5 linked regions of the Ovis aries genome follow. The protein of the gene in region 1 purifies or fractionates together with the protein of each later gene. This does not show direct contact. Links are inferred from orthologs where the notes say so. Each region holds a gene or a part of one and is shown in the gene's direction. Other genes may lie near its edges.

What was found.
Region 2: the proteins of HSCB (region 1) and SUCLG2 purify together in Homo sapiens (affinity purification with mass spectrometry; 3 studies listed by BioGRID and IntAct, with this or other methods). This does not show direct contact. The link is inferred for Ovis aries from reciprocal best matches to the Homo sapiens genes HSCB and SUCLG2.
Region 3: the proteins of HSCB (region 1) and SDHAF1 purify together in Homo sapiens (co-immunoprecipitation; 3 studies listed by BioGRID and IntAct, with this or other methods). This does not show direct contact. The link is inferred for Ovis aries from reciprocal best matches to the Homo sapiens genes HSCB and SDHAF1.
Region 4: the proteins of HSCB (region 1) and ISCU purify together in Homo sapiens (affinity purification with western blotting; 3 studies listed by BioGRID and IntAct, with this or other methods). This does not show direct contact. The link is inferred for Ovis aries from reciprocal best matches to the Homo sapiens genes HSCB and ISCU.
Region 5: the proteins of HSCB (region 1) and SDHB purify together in Homo sapiens (co-immunoprecipitation; 3 studies listed by BioGRID and IntAct, with this or other methods). This does not show direct contact. The link is inferred for Ovis aries from reciprocal best matches to the Homo sapiens genes HSCB and SDHB.

Annotation. Positions count from the first base shown.
Region 1 is NC_056070.1:68,186,130-68,190,315, forward strand, and holds the start of HSCB (iron-sulfur cluster co-chaperone protein HscB), read left to right. Parts: upstream 1-1,376; 5' UTR 1,377-1,414; coding exon 1,415-1,650; intron 1,651-3,688; coding exon 3,689-3,785; intron 3,786-4,186.
Region 2 is NC_056072.1:33,943,494-33,947,706, forward strand, and holds the start of SUCLG2 (succinate--CoA ligase [GDP-forming] subunit beta, mitochondrial), read left to right. Parts: upstream 1-1,406; coding exon 1,407-1,727; intron 1,728-1,735; exon of another isoform or gene 1,736-4,213. UniProt on the Homo sapiens protein: GTP-specific succinyl-CoA synthetase functions in the citric acid cycle (TCA), coupling the hydrolysis of succinyl-CoA to the synthesis of GTP and thus represents the only step of substrate-level phosphorylation in the TCA.
Region 3 is NC_056067.1:45,972,957-45,975,795, forward strand, and holds SDHAF1 (succinate dehydrogenase assembly factor 1, mitochondrial), read left to right. Parts: upstream 1-1,254; 5' UTR 1,255-1,348; coding exon 1,349-1,705; 3' UTR 1,706-2,339; downstream 2,340-2,839.
Region 4 is NC_056070.1:64,528,484-64,532,563, reverse strand, and holds the start of ISCU (iron-sulfur cluster assembly enzyme ISCU), read left to right. Parts: upstream 1-1,269; 5' UTR 1,270-1,280; coding exon 1,281-1,394; intron 1,395-2,851; coding exon 2,852-2,965; intron 2,966-3,765; coding exon 3,766-3,876; intron 3,877-4,080.
Region 5 is NC_056055.1:249,242,735-249,245,190, forward strand, and holds part of SDHB (succinate dehydrogenase [ubiquinone] iron-sulfur subunit, mitochondrial), read left to right. Parts: intron 1-474; coding exon 475-576; intron 577-1,865; coding exon 1,866-1,988; intron 1,989-2,456. UniProt on the Homo sapiens protein: Iron-sulfur protein (IP) subunit of the succinate dehydrogenase complex (mitochondrial respiratory chain complex II), responsible for transferring electrons from succinate to ubiquinone (coenzyme Q).

The DNA of each region.
Region 1 (4,186 bases):
GTGACCTCCTGTGTCTTTGGAGCAAAACTTGTCCGCCCTGAAAAGTGGCAAAAGACAGTGTGTCAAGAGGTAGCTGCTATCATCACACCTGATAAGAAGGGTCCACCACACCAGGACTACATGGGCCTCCCCCAGGTACAGTGGAGAGCTTATAAGCAAACACATTTGGAGTCAGCTAAGTCAGTTCTTCGCATGACCTTTAGGTAGATCACAACCACTCTGAACCCAAAAAGTAGACGGAAAATCAAATGAGATGCTGCAGCAACGTTCTTTCAACCTCACCCCCTCAGTAAAGCTTTATAATCGGACTCTCAGGCCCAAAGAATCTGAAAGCAGGGAAAGGCCTTACAAGTGCAACACAATTTATTTTTCCTCAAATAGAGAAACTGAGTCCCAAGGAAAACTGGTGGCCCCCCTCCCCTCCCTTTGCCACCCAATCCCCCACACTTCCTTACGGACACTCTCGAAGCATCTTCTTACACAAGTCAGTGTGCTGCTGCCAGTTCCAGCAGAGCCTATTGAGAATGGGTTCTCAATAGGCATTTTTCAGATTGAACCAAACTAGGATAATAATTGGGCTTCCCTGGTGGCTCAGACGGTAAAGCGTCTGCCTGCAATGCGGGAGACCCGGGTTCGATTCCTGGGTCGGGAAGATCCCCTGGAGAAAGATATGGCAATCCACTCCAGCACTCTTGCCTGGAAAATCCCATGGACGGAGGAGCCTGATAGGCTACAGTTCATGGGGTCGCAAAGAGTCGGACACGACTGAGCGACTTCACTTTCACTTTCATGAAAATAATTACTAACACCTTTAAAACAATCTGCAGAGCAGCTTGGCTCTGATTCTGAAGAGCACAACTTGGTTCTTTCTTATCCCGTACTTCTGGGCCAGTTTCTGCTTGTAAATAACAAGGGAAGTGAAATTCACCTCGAGGTTTGTCTACAAAGGAGGAAGAGAGTCGCCCACGCATTCCTCTCCCTCGCGCCTTCCCGAGCTCATACACAGGACAAGATGAAGGCTCGGGAGATTCAGCTCGCAATAACACCCTGAGGACAGGATTCGAACCCCTAAATACCCAAAAGAAGCTCCCCACTATGACTCACCGCGTGAGCCCCTCTGGAAGAGTACAACCCAGAGCAGCCGCAGCCAGCGGAGTGGCGCTAAACCCGCAGATACAAACTCCACCCTCCACCAATCAAAACACCCCTCCGCTCCCGCTGGACCAATGAGAAGCAGCGGATGTGGCTGCCCGCAGCTTCAATGCTTTCTGGGAGTTGTAGTTTAAGCTGCAGAGTGAGACTCAGAACCCAGGTTTCCCCCGGGTCGTCCCGCCCCCCGCCCAGTTCCCCAGCCAATCACTAGCACGAGTGTGGTCAGTCTCAGGTGACCTCGGCGAGGCAGGCTGCCGGCCCGATGTGGGCCGGAAGGACCGGGACCTTGCTCCGGCTGTCGGGGTGGTGGCCGACAGGGGTGCTCGGGAGAAGACTGCTAAACTGCAATGCTGCGTCCCTGGCAGGAAGCAGCTCCCCACGATGTTGGAACTGTGGCGGCGCAGGGGGCCCACCGCGGGGGGACCGGTTCTTCTGCCCTCAGTGCCGCGCGCTGCAGCCACCTGACCCGACTCGAGATTACTTCAGCCTCATGGACTGGTATGGAGGCCGTTTCCTGAAACGCGTCTGGACGTGCGAGAGTGGAGGGCGGGTCAGGCTAGGGGAGGAGGAAGGCTGGACCAGTCACACTGGTTGGCGGAGCCCTGGAGGACCGGACTGGGGGTGGAGCCTGGTCGAGAAGGGTGCGTGGGATGTGGCTGGGGAGGAAATTAAGGGGCTGGCCTGAGCGAGGACGCTTTAAGGGGGTGAAGACGAGAGTGAGTCTTGGAGTAGATAGGCGGGGAGTGGTTAGGGGAAACTGAAGTTTGAAGGCAGCCATGGAGGGGCGGGTTCTGAGAGAAGGCCAAGTTGAGAGGCGGGGCTTTGAGGGGAAGGTACTTGCGCGGCCCTAGGGCTTCCCTGGGGCTTCCCTGGGGCTTCCCTGGGGCTTCCCTGGGGCTTCCCTGGTGGCTCAAAGGGTAAAGCGTCTGCCTGCAATGCAGGAGACCTGGGTTCGATCCCTGGGTCAGGAAGATCCCCTGGAAAAGGAAATGGCAACCCACTCCAGTATTCTTGCCTGGAGAATCCCATGGACAGAGGAGCCTGGTGGGCTACAGTCCACAGGGTCGCAAAGAGTCGGACACGACTGAGCGAGTTCACTTCACTTCATTTCACTTCAGGGCTTCCCTGATAGCGATAGCTCAGGGTAAAGAATCTGCCTGCAATTCAGGAGACTCCGGTTCGATTCCTGGGTCGAAAAGATCTGCTGGAGATGGGATAAGCTACCCACTCCGGTATACTTGGGTTTCCCTGGTGGCTCAGCTGGTAAAGAATCCGCCTACAATACAGGAGACCTAGGTTCTACCCCTGGTTTAGGAAGATCCGTTAATTACAGGCTTCCCTTGTGGCTCAGCTAGTAAAGAATCTTCCTGCAATGCGGGAGACCTGAGTTGGATCCCTGGGCTAGGAAGATCCCCTGGGGAAGGGAAAAGCTACTCACTCCAGTATTCTGGCCTAGAGAATGCCATAGACTGTGTAGTCCATGGGGTCGAAATAGTTGGACACGACTGAGCGACTTTCTGGAGAAGGCAATGGCACCCCACCCCACTCCAGCACTCTTGCCTGGAAAATCCCATGGACGGAGGAGCCTGGTGGGCTGCAGTCCTTGGGGTCGCTAAGAGTCGGACACGACTGAGCGACTTCACTTTTCATGCATTGGAGAAAGCAATGGCAGCCCAATCCAGTGTTCTTGCCTGGAGAATCCCAAGGAAGGGGGAGCCTGGTGGGCTGCCGTCCTATGGAGTCGCACAGAGTCGGACACGAATGTAGAGACTTAGCAGCAGCAGCAGCAGAGCACCTTTCACTTTCACTTTGGAGCATAGAAGCTTGACGTTCAGAATGTTTAAAGTTGGCTTGAGATTTTTAAGAAAGAAGTACAGAAGTGGTATCCAAAATACGAGAGTAAGAGCATGGAAAAACTTAAGGCTGTGGGCAGAATCTAAGGGAAAAGTGAGAACTGGAGGGTCTGAGAAATAAGTGTTTTTCCTGTTTACCGTGGAAAGTCGAGAAGTTTGGAGAGGTGACAAATTTGGTCGAAGCTAAAGAGATAGTGCAGGCTCTGGGAATAAAAAGCGAAGGGGATTCATTTAAAATAAAGTAAGAGGCAGAAATGAAGGGACCTGGGCCTTAGAAAAATAGAGTGTGATTCTGGAATGCCCCTTAACTCTGGGCTCTGGCCCCACCAGTCACTGAGCACGTATGAAGGGTCGCAGTAACACTACCCTGTAAGTTGTTCAAGCATGCCAGTCTTGTTCTAACTTCAAGGTCTCTGTGTGTTCCCTGTGCCTGAATGTGTCTTTCCTCTGATCTCTGATTAATCCTCATCATCATTTAGGTCTCAGCTCAAATGTCATCTCTTTGTCCACTACATCTACCATTCTCTGACCCTATTCTGTTTTCCTTTACAGTACCTACCACTTTCTGGAATAGCTCTTGTCTACATGTTTGTTGTGTCCCCACTAAAAAGAGGAACCAGGCCCATGGTATACAGATCTATAAATATCTGATGCATGAGTTTCATCTCCTGATTTCCTTCCAGCAACCGCTCCTTCAGAGTTGACACTGTGAAGCTCCAGCATAGATACCAGCAACTACAGCGCCTTGTCCACCCAGATTTCTTCAGCCAGAGGTCTCAGGTAAGCCTATTGGCCATCCCTAATCATTCCCTGGATGAGGAAGCTCCCCTCTAGGAGGTCATGGCAACCCACTCCAGTATTCTTCCCTGGAAAATCCCAGGGACAGAGGAGCCTGGTGAGCAACAGTCCATAGGGGCGTGAAGAGTTGGACATGACTGAAGCGACTTTGCACAACAGACATAGCACAATCATACCCAAACACATATGCACCCTGGGTGCAGTGGCCTGTATTTATGAGATTACCGATTACCAGGGACAAAACTGGACAACCAGCTTTGCCCTGGGGCAGCCTGATTACAACCAACCAGGCCCTGGATCAGTCCCACACTCAGAGCTTTTACCTTACTTCCTAGCAGAATTAAAACCCATCGTCTGAAAATTAAAACAGCTTATCCCACACC
Region 2 (4,213 bases), on another chromosome or scaffold:
CCTTCCAGCGGGGCAAATAGGCCCCAATCAGGAAGACCATGAGATCTGGAGCCTGCCCTCCACAAAGAAAAGATCTTGTATGCCGCAACTAAGATCTCAGGTGTACCAACACCCAACAGAACAAAAAATAAAAAATAAAAAAAAGAATAAACAAACATGGGGGACAATAAAGCTCTTCTGAGTAGAACATAAACTATAGAAAATATAGAAAGGAATGGAACTAGACAATCATGATTTTACAACCATCACAGTAAAAACTGATATAAGAAATAATCATCAATGGATAAGAAATTTAGCCAGTAAAACTATGACTAAGAATCGGCTATAAAGCTACATATCTATATCTATTAAAAATGGGGATTGAGGCAAAATGTAAACAAGTGCTATCAATAAATCTGCATAAAGGATATTTGGGGGTTTGGGGATAATATTCTTGCAACTTTTCTGTAGATTTTTTTTTGGGGGGGTCAAAAACAAAAGGATAGCTCAGTTGGTAAAAATCTGCCTGCAATGCAGGAGACCCCAGTTGGATTCCTGGGTTGGGAAGATCCCTTGGAGAAGGGAAAGGCTACCCATCCCAATATTCTGGCCTAGAGATTTCCATGGACAGTACAGTCCATGGGGTTACAAAGAGTGGGACACAACTGCGTGACTTTCACTTTCAAAGAAAACTAGCAGAAATAGTTGCTCAGTTCTGTTAAATTTGTACCTTTTCTCACGATCATAGGCTCAAGAATAAAGTAAGGTTAAAAATTCGAAAATGACACTTTATAGGGTTGGGAGAAGAAAGCATGAGTTTGAAACTTTCCATCCTTATCAGATCTGTGACCCTCAATAAGCAAGGAAACCTCCTTGTGTCTCAGTTTTTTCTTCTGCAAAATGGGGATTTTTTTTTCCATTGGTGCCTACTGGAAAGCTTGCTATGAACACTAAACGAGTCCTTATTTGTAAAGTGCCTGCCATATATTAAGCATATTTGCTAGCTATTTTTATTCCACAGACAGTGCTTAGAGTTATATAAACTCCAAGTAAACTCTTGGTCTTACTCGGGCGACTACACGTTTAAAATCCTTCAATACCTTTGTCTAAATCTTCACAAAGAGACAAAGTCTCACTAAAGGGTAGAGGGCCTCCACTGACCTCTTCAGGCCCGCTTGCTTCTCCCTTACTCCCTCAAGGTTCACCTCAAACACCGCTTCCCTACAGGAGCCCCTGAGGCCCCAGGACCAGAGCAGAGGCCTATCCCTCGCTTGGCATCCCACACTGGCCGCTCCTCAGAGCACTCCCTGGAACTGGCAACAGGCACTGGCCTCTCGCTCCAGGGCACTTTAAGTCCACAACCGCTGGGCTCGGGGTGGGTTTTCGCTCACACTGTGACCCGCGGTAGCGCGAAGAGGAGGCTCCAAATGCTGAAAGTGAATTTGGGGCCGAGGTGGCGGTCGTCGTGGGGGACGCAGGGCTTCGACAGGCGCTCCCTCAGGAGTGCGGCCGCGTCCCAGGGTCACCAGGCGCGGCCGGGCGGAGGGGGCGGGGCGGGCGGTAGGCGGCGGGCGGCCCCGCCCCTTCCCCCTCCCTTCCTCTTCCAGCCCCCTCCCGCCCCGCCGGCACCCCGTCAGGATCCCCTCGCTGGCTTCCTGGATAAGATGGCGGCCCCCGTGGGAGCGCAGGCCCGGAAACTTCTGAGAGACCTGGCGCTCCGGCCCCCGCTCCTGGCGGCCAGGTCCCAGGTGAGCGGACCCCTTGGTGGGGGCCTCGAGCAGCCGTTGGTCCCCTTCCGTCCCCTTCTGTCCTCCTCTTCCTGGTACCGGGTGCGCGGTCGCCGCGGCGCCACACCTGTGGAGAGGACGCGCGGTGCTGCGTCTGCGGCGCACGAGGGACCCCAGCACCCTCTGCTTCATGTGTGGAAAGGGGGTCTCGGGCTGAGGGGTTAATGACAGCCGGGACCACCTCAGAGTGAGAGCCACCCAACTCCCAGTTTTCGCTGCCGTGGATTCCCTCAGCATCGGGAGGGCGCCGGGCCCTGCACCAGGCGCTGCACAGGCAACTTCAGGAAAAGTTCCTGGAAATGGGGTTTGAGGTCCTGAGGTGTTATTGTGTTGCCAACACACACACACACACAAACACAACCAAAACACATGTTGCCAACACACACACACAACACCAAAACACAACCTAAAAGTTGAGAAATACTTTTTTTCTGAGGCATTTATTGAGGACTGTATCCTGAGGAAGTTTCTGGATAGCTCTGAGGAATTGTTGGAAAGAGGTAGGGGAGGAGCCAGGATGTACACGAGTTTTTGCTGGAAAACAAACAAAACACAAACCTTGTTGTGGAAGCTTAAAGGGTTAAGACTAATCACAAAATGTAGAAATGACAAGTTAGTGATTTTGATGCTTTTCTCCATATGGAAGCTGTAAGAGTCTGGGTATATTGAAATATTCCTTTGATATGCATCTTAACGTTATCTGCTGCTGCTGCTGCTAAGTCACTTCAGTCGTGTCCAACTCTGTGGGACCCCATAGATGGCAGCCGACTAGGCTCCTCCATCCCTGGGATTCTCTAGGCAAGAACACTGAAGTGGGTTGCCATTTCCTTCTCCAATGCATGAAAGTGAAAAGTGAAAGTGAAGTCGCTCAGTTGTGTGAAGTCGCGACCCCATGGACTGCAGCCTACCAGGCTCCTCCATCCATGGGATTTTCCAGGCAAGAGTACTGGAGTGGGGTGCCATTGCCTTCTCCAGTTCCCCTCAGGGTGCACTGTATGGGGCCATTGCAGTGGCTACTGATTTGATGGTAGGCAACATTACTGTTTACTATAATGGTGGGAAACATTTTTTTCTTGTCTTCAGTTACCTGTTCTGAGGTAGCTGCCTGTCCTCAGTCGCCAGTCCTGCTTTTGAACCCATTTGTTAGGCCATGTGATAAAGGTACCTAGAAACCCACCCCAGCCTTGCTGGTTTAGTAACTCACTTCCTGGAATGAGCTGCCTGCTCTTGCCGACTGGCAGGGTTGGGTATGGGTGTGGGGTGCTGAGATGGTGAAAGGAGGGGGTCAAGGAGAATGATGGGAAACGTCCTTCCTCAATTTAGTGAAAATTCAGTCCCATCATTGGAACACATTTGAGTATTGACCTTGTCCTCTTTCTCCTTGTTTCTAGAGAATAAAATCCTAGGAGGGCCAATGATGGACACTGAATAGCTATTAGAGCTTGGCCTTTAGGAGATTTTACTTTCTGTAGATGGCAAGAGTCATAGTAGCCAGAAGGCCTTTGGGGAGTTATGAGTTGGTGATGACTCTTGGAGAAATGACTCAAGTACTCAACTTTACATTCTCTGTTAGAAATATCTCTTCCCTTTTGAAGAAAACAATATGGGGCTTGACCACAGCACAGCCTTGTCCTTGTCCTTTTCCCCATTTTTAATTGATGAGAGACAATTAAAATGATGATCATTCCTGCAGTTTTATCTAGGATGTGCATAGTATTTTTTTTTTAATTGAACGATAGCTACTGATGAGTTTTGGAGTTACTCTAAACTTTGGTAAATTATGACATCTGAGTTATTCTTTTCTTCTTTTCTTTTCCTGACTTCTCATTTGTGTGTTTGTGTTAATGCAAATTTAAAAGGTGCTAATAACATTACTGTAATATATTTAACAGGCATTTGACAATATGATAGGATAGCAAAGGGAATGGTGGCTTTTGTCTAATTAAAATCACTAATAACTGTTGTAATAGAGTAAGGGGAATACCTCCAGGTGATCAAGTTCCATTCATTAAATGTTAGAAAAAAACCAAGAACTGTGGTGCTAACTATGAGAGTAGACTTGAATTGATGAGCAACATGAGGCCTAAGGCAATGAAAATTCAAGCAAAAGAAGTAATTGTATAGAAAAATCCAAGTGTTTAGCTGAAGTATGATAGGGCTTCTTGCCTTACCAAGAAATGGGAGCCTGAATACAACACTTTAGAAAATCTGGGTGGGGGATACCCTTGGTTTTGCAAGAAGACTGGGTAAAAGAATCTTCTGCCTCACTCTATCTGAAAACTTTGATTTACGTGCTTATAGATGAAGTGTTGTCCTGTGAACACAAACTTAGGAGATGAGAATTCTTTTTTTTTTTTTTTTAAGGCAAGAATAGTACACAGTGTTCAAGAACTGGAAATGGGCATTAGCAAGCATCTGATCCAAAAAACTCATTTCACAGGTCGAAA
Region 3 (2,839 bases), on another chromosome or scaffold:
TGTTGGAGAAGACTCTTGAGAGTCCCTTGGATTGCAAGGAAATCAAACCAGTCAATCCTAAAGGAAATCAGTCCTGAATATTCATTGGAAGGACTGATGCTGAAGCTGAAACTCCAATACTTTGGCCACCTGATGCGAACAACTGACTCATTAGAAAAAACCCTGATGCTGGGAAAGATTGAAGGCAGGAGGAGACGGGGAGGACAGAGGATGAGATGGTTGAATAGCATCACCTACTCGATGGACATGAGTTTGAGCAAGCTCTGGGAGTTGGTGAGGGACAGGGAAGCCTGGCGTCCATGAGGTGAGAGGAGACGACTGAGCAACTGAACTGAACTGAACTGATCGACTCCCAGACTCAGGCCCTCTCCTCAGCCCCTGACTAGCCTAGCCTCCTGCGGAAGAACCCATGACCAGATGTGCGGGGGCGTGGTCGCACGCTGGGCGGAGGGGTCCCGGGTTATCGTTGCCTGGTTCCCCACGCTCCGGGTGCCGGTAGGTGCTGGTAGGTGCTGGTAGGGTGCTGAGCGGGTCGTGGCCTTGCGGGCCTCCCAGCGCTACGAGGACGCCTCCGAATAGCCTGCGGGAACTATAACGGAATTGCAGCTGACTACCTGATACTGCCTGCAGGTCTGCGGAGTGCCAACATAGTCGAAGAGTTCCTTGTGGGCTGGACTCCGCTTCAACAGCTAGGGAGGCCCCTCCCTCTCCTACCCTCAGATCCGACTCACGTCGGCAGAGAGCGCTACCGGCCCAAACAGGCTGCGTTTGGGGGCTTATAGCCCACGGTATATTCTCAGCACCGAGAGGCTTGTTCTGCCGGCTGTGACCCAACACTTTACCGGGTATTCCTCTCCCCAGGGGTTGGGGCCTTCGATGTACACTTGCTCTGGGAGTGGGGACTCACGGAGCTTCCTATGGTTGCTTTAATAAATGAGGATAAACCCACGTGTGTGCCCGTCTTCTCTCTCCCCGTGCCCCCAGCGCTCTGGGGAACACAAGGACCCTAACCTCTAGCTCTCTCCACTCGCAGGACCCAAGAGTCAGGTCAGGATCCCCTGGTCTCTTCCGACCCCAAACCTAAGAGTCTCAGCGTCTAGCGTCCTCCTCCTCCAGGCCCTCAGGAGTACCGTCCTCTCAAGGACACTGATGTCCAGTGGGGCGGGCCAGTGAACCATTAGCTCCGCCCCTTACTCACAACATTGTGACGTAGCAGCAGCGACGACCTATGAGGCGCGACGGCGCCGCAAAGCTGGGAGCGGGAGGCGGAAGTGCCTGTGGCGGTGTTTCACCGCTTCTGCCGCCTGTTCCCGTGCGCCGCTCCGTGCCCCGCGGCCCAGCTGCTGCCATGAGCCGGCACAGCCGGTTGCAGAGGCAAGTTCTGAGCCTGTACCGCGAGCTGTTGCGCGCCGGGCGCGGGAAGCCGGGCGCCGAGGCACGGGTGCGGGCTGAATTCCGGCAGCACGCCTGCCTGCCACGCTCAGACGTACTTCGCATTGAGTACCTGTACCGCCGCGGTCGGCGCCAGCTCCAGATGCTACGCTCGGGCCACGCCACGGCCATGGGTGCCTTCGTCCGTACGCAGGACCCGACCGAGGAGTCCAACGGCGCGGGGGCCCCAGGGACCCTGTCCAATGAAGGTGACGACCGGAGGAGACCGCTAGACAGCATAAGGACACCGAAGACCCCGCTGGATGGACGGTGACCGGCTGAAGGGCTCTGCCGATGGCTCAGGGGGACTGGAGGACCGGGGGAGCCCCCCGATGGAAAGTGAGAGGTCTTGAGAAACTAGATCGACAGATTGAGGTAGTTGAAGAGCTCTCCTGGGACGTGGGGTGCGATGGCGAGAAATGCCCGGCTTTACTTGCTGTATGGTACCGGGTCAGACTTAACCAATGAGGCTTGGGGCGGGCTGTCAAACTAAAAGCTGCTTACCCTAAGGCCTGGGGAGCCAAGACGCCCCGCTGTTGGACGGAAAGAGACTTGACACGCCCTTGTCTAGAACCCTGAGAAATACCACTGGCGGCTCCTCAAAGAGACTCCTCTCTCCTGTACTTAACTCTGAGAAGAGCAGATGAGGAGGAGTTTGGGACGATGCCCTGATGGACTGGTGAGAAGCCTGGAAACCCCCTCAGAAAAATCTTTACTCCACTGAGACCAACTGGGATTGGTGAGGAAGGGGGTAAGGGGTTTCTCACCCCGCTAATCAGTTAAAGACCGCCTTAAGACCTCTGCATGATGGTTCTGAGGGTGAAACCTCCCCCTCTCCACCCCGATTCCTGCCCCTTTCCCTGCTCAGGACTGTTGGACAAAAAGGCAATAAAATGGGGGTGTGCTTACTTCCCTGTTGGTGGTGGTAAAGATTTGATGTGTTTGGGGGATTTTGGGGGTTATCAAGAAGTGACCCTCTGGCAAGGGATGGGTGTGGGGAACCCTCTAGAATGGCAGATTGGTTGGAGCAGCATAGTTCTTTCTCCTGGGCAGATCCATGGAGGGAAGCCACCCTGGTTTGACCCCCAAGGAAGCCCCTGTTGACCCCTTAATGGGGGGTAGTGAGGCGGAAGAGGAATGGTGGGGCTGAGGAGGCCTGGCTGGTAATCCCTGCAGTAGTAGTGGGACCCTCAAACCTTGCTAAGGAGTCCAGCCTCAGCTACAAGCTGGAACTGTTAGCAAGGCCTAGGGGTGGGAAAGGAGAGGTGGACCCATAGGCCACAGACATAGCTCTTCGCATGCCCCCACAGGGACGTGCCCTAGACATTCCCTGAGGTGCTGCGTTTTGTAGCCCTCAGCTGTATTTGCACCCATTAAAAGCAGTTGAGAGGAGGAGGACCTCAGGAAA
Region 4 (4,080 bases), about 3.7 Mb from region 1:
TGCGCCTCGGATGACATGGAAATCTCGAAATACACGAGATTCATGTTATTTTATATACTTTCAGTAGCTCTTGTTCGAATAAAAAAGCTCACCAACAGGGCATGCGTTTCGGCACAACGTCGGACAGCAGTTGGGTCCTTAGGCAGGAAGTGGAAGCCATAGAGGCAGCCACTGAGTGAGCGTGATGGTTGTAGTTAAGGGTTTGGCGCCATCTTGAGAAGGTCAAAAATGATTCTTGGAATAAATATCTTACCACCTAGTCTGACCTGGCGCGTGAGTCAGTCTCCCCAGCAACTGAGCCTCAAACGCGCAAAAAAGTCTTAAGTCCTCAGGGAAGGATCGATTGCACCATTCATGAGAATAACTCATTTCCCAGAGATTCCTTCTCTTTATCTAATGCCTGGCGCCTAGCACTTAAATACACGTGAGTTTTGATTTTATAGGATCATATTCTGCAAACCAGTATCAATAAATTACATTAATAAATATTTACTTAGAATCTCTTCATTGCTATATCTTGTGATTTAATCTGTGCCAGTTTGCTTTTTAATAGAGACATAAACATATACAATTTTTAAAATCAGAGCAAAGTATTCTTTCCTTTAGTTAAGCTTCTCACTTTAGTGGTAGAAAAGCCTTGGTGGGTCTATTTATTGCCTTGCTCCCTCAGTAGCAAGCTTAATTGTGTCGTCTTGGGTTGTTTTCCCAAAGCACCCTGACAAAAAGTAGATACTCAACACAAGATTTGCTCAATGGATGAAGAACTGTCCTTGAATTAGTACAAAAAAGATCGAGGTTTACAATGACACTATGTTTCACTTAGCAGCACACAGCCAGTTAGGAGCAGAAATGGGATTCTAACTCAGGACTGTTCAAGTCAGAATCCCAACTGGGCCCCTCTGGGCAACCTAGGGCAAGTTACTAAACCGTTCTGATCCTCAAATTCCTAAGCTGCAAAATAGAGCCAAGAAGGGTGGACTGGTTGAGCCTCTGCGCCGAAATAGGCGGTGGGGCTTTGTCAACGCAAAGCTGGGTCCTGATTTCCTGCTCAAGGATCCTCAAGATTCAGAACCCAGCTCGGTGGACCAGCCCTCGAACGATTTCAAACCTTTAGGCTCCGCGCCGCGGGAACAAAACGGGGACACGTGAACGCAGCGGGAGGGCGCAGGCGCAAGGTCGCCGGTACTTTAGAGGGTGCGCGCTCCCAGCAGGGAGCCGACTCGCGCACGCGCCCCTCCCCTCGGCCGCGCGCTCCACCTGCGCAGGCGCAAGCCCTCAAGATGGCGGCGGCTGGAGCGGGCCGTCTGAGGCGGGCGGCGTCGGCCCTGTTGCTCCGGCCCCCGCGCCTGCCCGCCCGGGAGCTCTCAGCTCCCGCTCGGCTCTATCACAAGAAGGTAAGAGCGGCCCGGGGGTCCGCACCGGGCGGGGGGGCGGGCGGGAGTGCGAGGACCCCCCAGAGGACTTAGGGGTCCTAGCGGAAGCCCAGCCTAGTGGCCCTCCCCGCTCTGCGCGGCCCTGGAACCCCGACTGCAGCCCAGGGCCCTGGCCGCCCCCAGCCCTGGATGGAGGGGCCTTCCTCTCAAGAGGCCGCCTCGAATGGCTTTCCCTCGCTGCGCTGGGGCGACTAACCGCGCCTGAAACAGGAATGACAGCTCCCGCTAGCCTAGCGGCAGCTGCCCTCAATCTGAAACATCCATCCGGCCTTTAAGCCTCTCGGCTGCCCAGGAAGCAGGGTCCTGCTCTGTCCGGGCTAGCCGGACACACAGCGGCCGAGTGACCTTGGGCGAGTCACTGCCCCGCGCTCGTCAGATGGGGTCTGGGCAGCGCCCCCGGACGCGAGTGCATTGCCTGCGGAGTCCTGGGCAGGGCGCTTGGCACAGGGAGGCCGCTGAGGGTCGGTGTTACTGTTGCAGGAGCTCAGAGCCTCCGAGTGGACATGGACGTGTAACCAACAGTCGTCACGTTTTTGTGTTTGTTTTGGTTTGGTTTGGGGGTGGTGGGATGCTGTGAGTTAAGACAGGTTGGGTAGTTGGCAGCCACATGAGACGTGTCTCGCTTGGGAACCGGTTAAGTAAAAAAAGTGCGATAAATCAACCCCGGGGCAGAAAGTCGAAACTGGATATTATCTTACAGATCCTTGGACTTGGAAGTCAAAATCCGTGGTCGGATAGGTCGGGGGAAGGGGACTGGAAGTTCGGAATACTTAACGACTAACTGGGAAACAAACCGCAAGGTTTTTAAAGCCTCGCATGTGCCAGTTTGAATAGATGTCTACTCTGTTCTGGCTTCCACGCGTTTGCGCACAGACCTCACTCCCCGCGGACCCAGGGCTGTATATTGTTGACAGTACACGCGGAATGACCTGGCGCGCGCAGCCTTTCCGCCACCAGAGCGCGCTGCGGCACCGCAGATTTCAGGGCCCCGAAATACAGTCATGGTGGTTATTTATCACCACACACAAATGGCTGTATTCCATAGCCTTGTTCCTCCCGTAACAATCTCCATGAGGCTTCTGGGACCATACAGACGTGTAGGTTTTTGCATAGTAATCATTCTTTTGAGAATGGATTTTCTTCCGAAATTACACAGGTGCTGTTTGAGCCCAACTCTGTGACTTGGGTGGTTAGAGGTCAAGTAATTAGTTGTGGTTCAAAACCCCACAGAATTAAGACATGATTTTGCTGATTTTTCTCCAGGATCCCCATATCTCTTAAATCCTGCCCAAGTGAAATTTGGTATTTAGTGATGGCCTGCCAGGTCCAGCTTGCTGACTTGAAGGAGCTTGCCATCAAAGTCGGGGAGATGAACAGCAAAAAAGAGTGACTGTGATTTCTCTTCACTCTCATTTCAGGTTGTGGATCATTATGAAAATCCCCGAAACGTGGGGTCCCTTGACAAGACATCTAAAAATGTTGGGACTGGATTGGTGGGGGCTCCAGCGTGTGGTGATGTCATGAAATTACAGGTACCCCTGGTTTCCATCTTTACTGGTGGTAACGGTGACCCCTTTGCTTGAACGGTGTTCTGTAGTTGACAGAGCATTTACATGTCCAGCATTTCCTCTGGTCCCCATCTTGATTCCTGTGAGGTGGGAGAAGTCAGTGTTACAAATGATTCCAGCAGGGGCTGAATCCTAGTCCTCCTGGTAAACTGTGCTGACCCCTTCTGACAAAATAAACAGATCTCACGTTCATACTCACTGTATCAGTTAGCTATCCCCAGAGGGACGGGAAATGCCACAAATCAAACTCTGCCTGCCCCGGTGGAAGCGCCCGGCACTCTGGTAAACCATAGCTTTCTCCACATCTCCTTCGTCACTGTGGTGGGAAGCTGGCCAGGCGGCTTCATGCGTATCTTGGAGAACAGAAGCAAGGCAGGGAGGAACACACTGCATGCAGTTTGACGTCAAAGGGGAAAGCACCAGCCAGTGACCTTCACTGCCAGCTCTGGCAGTGCTTAAAGGCACACACTGACCCAGCAGCTGGGAAGCCAAAAGTCAGGCTTGGGAGTGGGAGGAGACTGGGCAGGAGGCACACTTTGTGGCTGATCTTTGCCAGCGAGGCCTGTATAATTCTGTATAGTTGTTCCTGCTTGCAACTTTTCATTGCTGAACTCTTTGAAACAGAGGGGCCTCAATAATCAACGCCCAAACTTTTAAGTATGGAAAGCAGGAACAAAACTCTTAGGAAATGCCCTGCGGGCCTCCCTAAGTGCCGGGCTCTGCAGGCAGTGCCAGAACCCTGCTAACTCCTGCCTCTTTTCCAGATTCAAGTGGATGAACAGGGGAGGATCGTGGACGCCAGGTTTAAAACATTCGGCTGTGGCTCTGCCATCGCCTCCAGCTCATTAGCCACCGAATGGGTCAAGGGGAAGACGGTAAGGCTCTTGAAAACTGGAATTAAGTCATATCCCCACACACCTGCCTCTTGGTTAAGGGAAGGTTTTAAACAAACACACACTATAATTTTTTTCTAAATATTCCAAGGATTTTCTTTCTTAATTTTGCTTACCCAGACTTTTATCAAACTCTTCTCCACATTGGGAATTATGGATAGTCTTAAGTGTTTTTTTAGTTAGGGG
Region 5 (2,456 bases), on another chromosome or scaffold:
GGCTTTTTAATTTCTGCTAGACTGCATTTGAGGTGGTAAGTTCTTTTCATGTGTGTGGGTTTTTTTTTTTTTTTTTTTTTAAGATAAGTAAGGGGTTATTTTGGAGAAGGCAATGGCAATCCACTCCAGTACTCTTGCCTGGAAAATCTCATGGGTGGAGGAGCCTGGTAGGCTGCCGTCCATGGGGTCGTGAGGAGTCGAACACGACTGAAGTGACTTAGCAGCAGCAAGGGGTTATTTGTTAAAGGATAAGTACGTCTGGACTTAAGAACTTTGGGCTCTGACCCAGCACATGTCTGAAGATCAGTTCCAAGATCTTTTTATGAACCTGGTGAATCTCTGCAGCCACTGCTGGGATTTCGCCAGAAACGCAGCAAAGCTTAGTGCGCTTTGTCCCACACGTTACGCTGGGTCAGCTCAGGGCACAGCTGCCTCCTGCGCGATGGGCTCCTGACCCCCTTTCCCCCCCCACAGGATGGGCTCTATGAGTGCATTCTCTGCGCCTGCTGCAGCACCAGCTGCCCAAGCTACTGGTGGAACGGAGACAAGTACCTGGGCCCCGCGGTCCTCATGCAGGTGAGGCGCCTTCGATATCGGGAGGGAAGCCGAGACGGGCTTGCAGGACTCCAGGAGGACAGTGTGCTGGAAACTCGCTGTTCTGAGGGGTGGTGTCCTTCCCTGGCACCCGCGACAAACGGGGTAATGGGTCACATCGCCTTCACTTGGCTTCGGGAAGTCTTGGGGCTCCATCTGCAGAACGCCTCCGTTTAGTGTGGCAAGGGCCACACCAGGGGCTGGTGGCTGCAGGTTGGCAGGCCGTGCCGTGCGGATGTTCAAGACATTTTCCTGTGTAGCTGGCTCTTCGCTGCCCACTTGCCCGCTTTCCCTGACTCCATCTGTCAGAAAGCTCCCCACCTCCCTTCCAGGGATTTTCAACATGCAGGCAGGGCAGAGAAAAATTTCACTGAGGGGCAGTTAACGGTGAAATGTTGGAGATTGTTTCCCGGCTAATGAAAGCCTGCAGTGCAGGCTTGAGAGGTTGCTTAGAAAGAAAGGCGTGCTGCTTTCCATAGCCTCTGACTGGGTGTGTAGTTCACAGCCGAGAGTCACTGTCTTTGTTCCCAGAAAGCTCATACTTATATTTGTGGTCAGCGCTTTTCATAAAGCCTTAAGCAACTCAAAAAACAACTTCTTGTTTTCATTTTCCCACAAAAAGAGAAGTTCTGTGGTTCTGCGACCAGTTAGCAGTACTGATGTTGGCCAAGTTAAAGACTGAATAGTGAGGTGTGTTCATAGTTGGCACTTACACCGGCGTCTGCGTTGTTGGGAAGCGTAGAGGGCCTCCCGGCCACACTGCTGGAGCAAGCCTGCTGCTCAGGAGCTGAGTCCGTGTTCAGCTGGCTGAGCTCAGGCTTCCTAGATGGCCATGCTCATTAAGAGAATCAATAAGTAGATTGAACGTTAAGTCCTCTGTTTACTCAGAGACGGTGAGTAGGTGCTGGGGAGGCAGTTAAGAGAGAGTCAAGCCCAGCATGCCTGCCTTTGCTCTTTGGTGATCTAGGGAGGAGGCTAATGAGGGCGTGAGATCAGTAGTTGAAGACACGACGCCCTTGGTGTATAATTAGGCACCAGGGACCAGGTGCTGTGGCTCAGAGGTTCGTGGGGACCATTGGTCGAGGTGATCGGAAGATGTTATGAAAGGGTGGGAAGCCTTTCTCTGAAAGGGGACAAGAAATAAAGGGTGTGGAGACGATCTCTAAGCTGGGTGGGCGCGGCGCTCTGCACCCCAGGAGCCTTGCGGTCAGTCAGAGGGCTGCTGCGGCCAGTTAGGGCTCGGCTCGGCTCACCAGGGCCCGCTCCCCCAGGCCTATCGCTGGATGATCGACTCCAGAGACGACTTCACGGAGGAGCGCCTGGCCAAGCTGCAGGACCCCTTCTCTCTCTACCGCTGCCACACCATCATGAACTGCACGCGGACCTGCCCCAAGGTACCCGCCACGTGGGCCCGGGGGCAGAGCGCGCGGCCGCCTCAGCGTGGGCCCGGGGGTGTGGGCGCGAGGCTGGTCCCGTGGGCTCCGACGCGGGTTCCTGCCCTCGGATCCGCTGGGCTCGCTCTGGCTGCAGGAACACGGGACGGAAGCATCCGAGCACAGGCGGCCGTGCGGGCTGCGGTCCCGCTGGCCCGAGGGCTGCGCCCGCCGCACTCCCCCGCAGCAGGCCCGCGCTCCGTGTGTCTGTCCGCGGCCTCGGAGCTCCGCTTAGCTTTCACTCCCTCTCTCTGCTCCTGCTCCTGGGCTCGCCCTGCCGCAGCCTCAGCAGCTGCCTGGCTCCTCATTTCTCGGCTTGCGTTCCCTGGAGGGAGGCTCGTGGCCCAGCTCAGCTCTCCTGGCACAGCCCACGTCAGAGTCGGCCAGCAGCTGTGGTCCGGCCCGTGGGCGGGGAGCCACCAGGGCCGC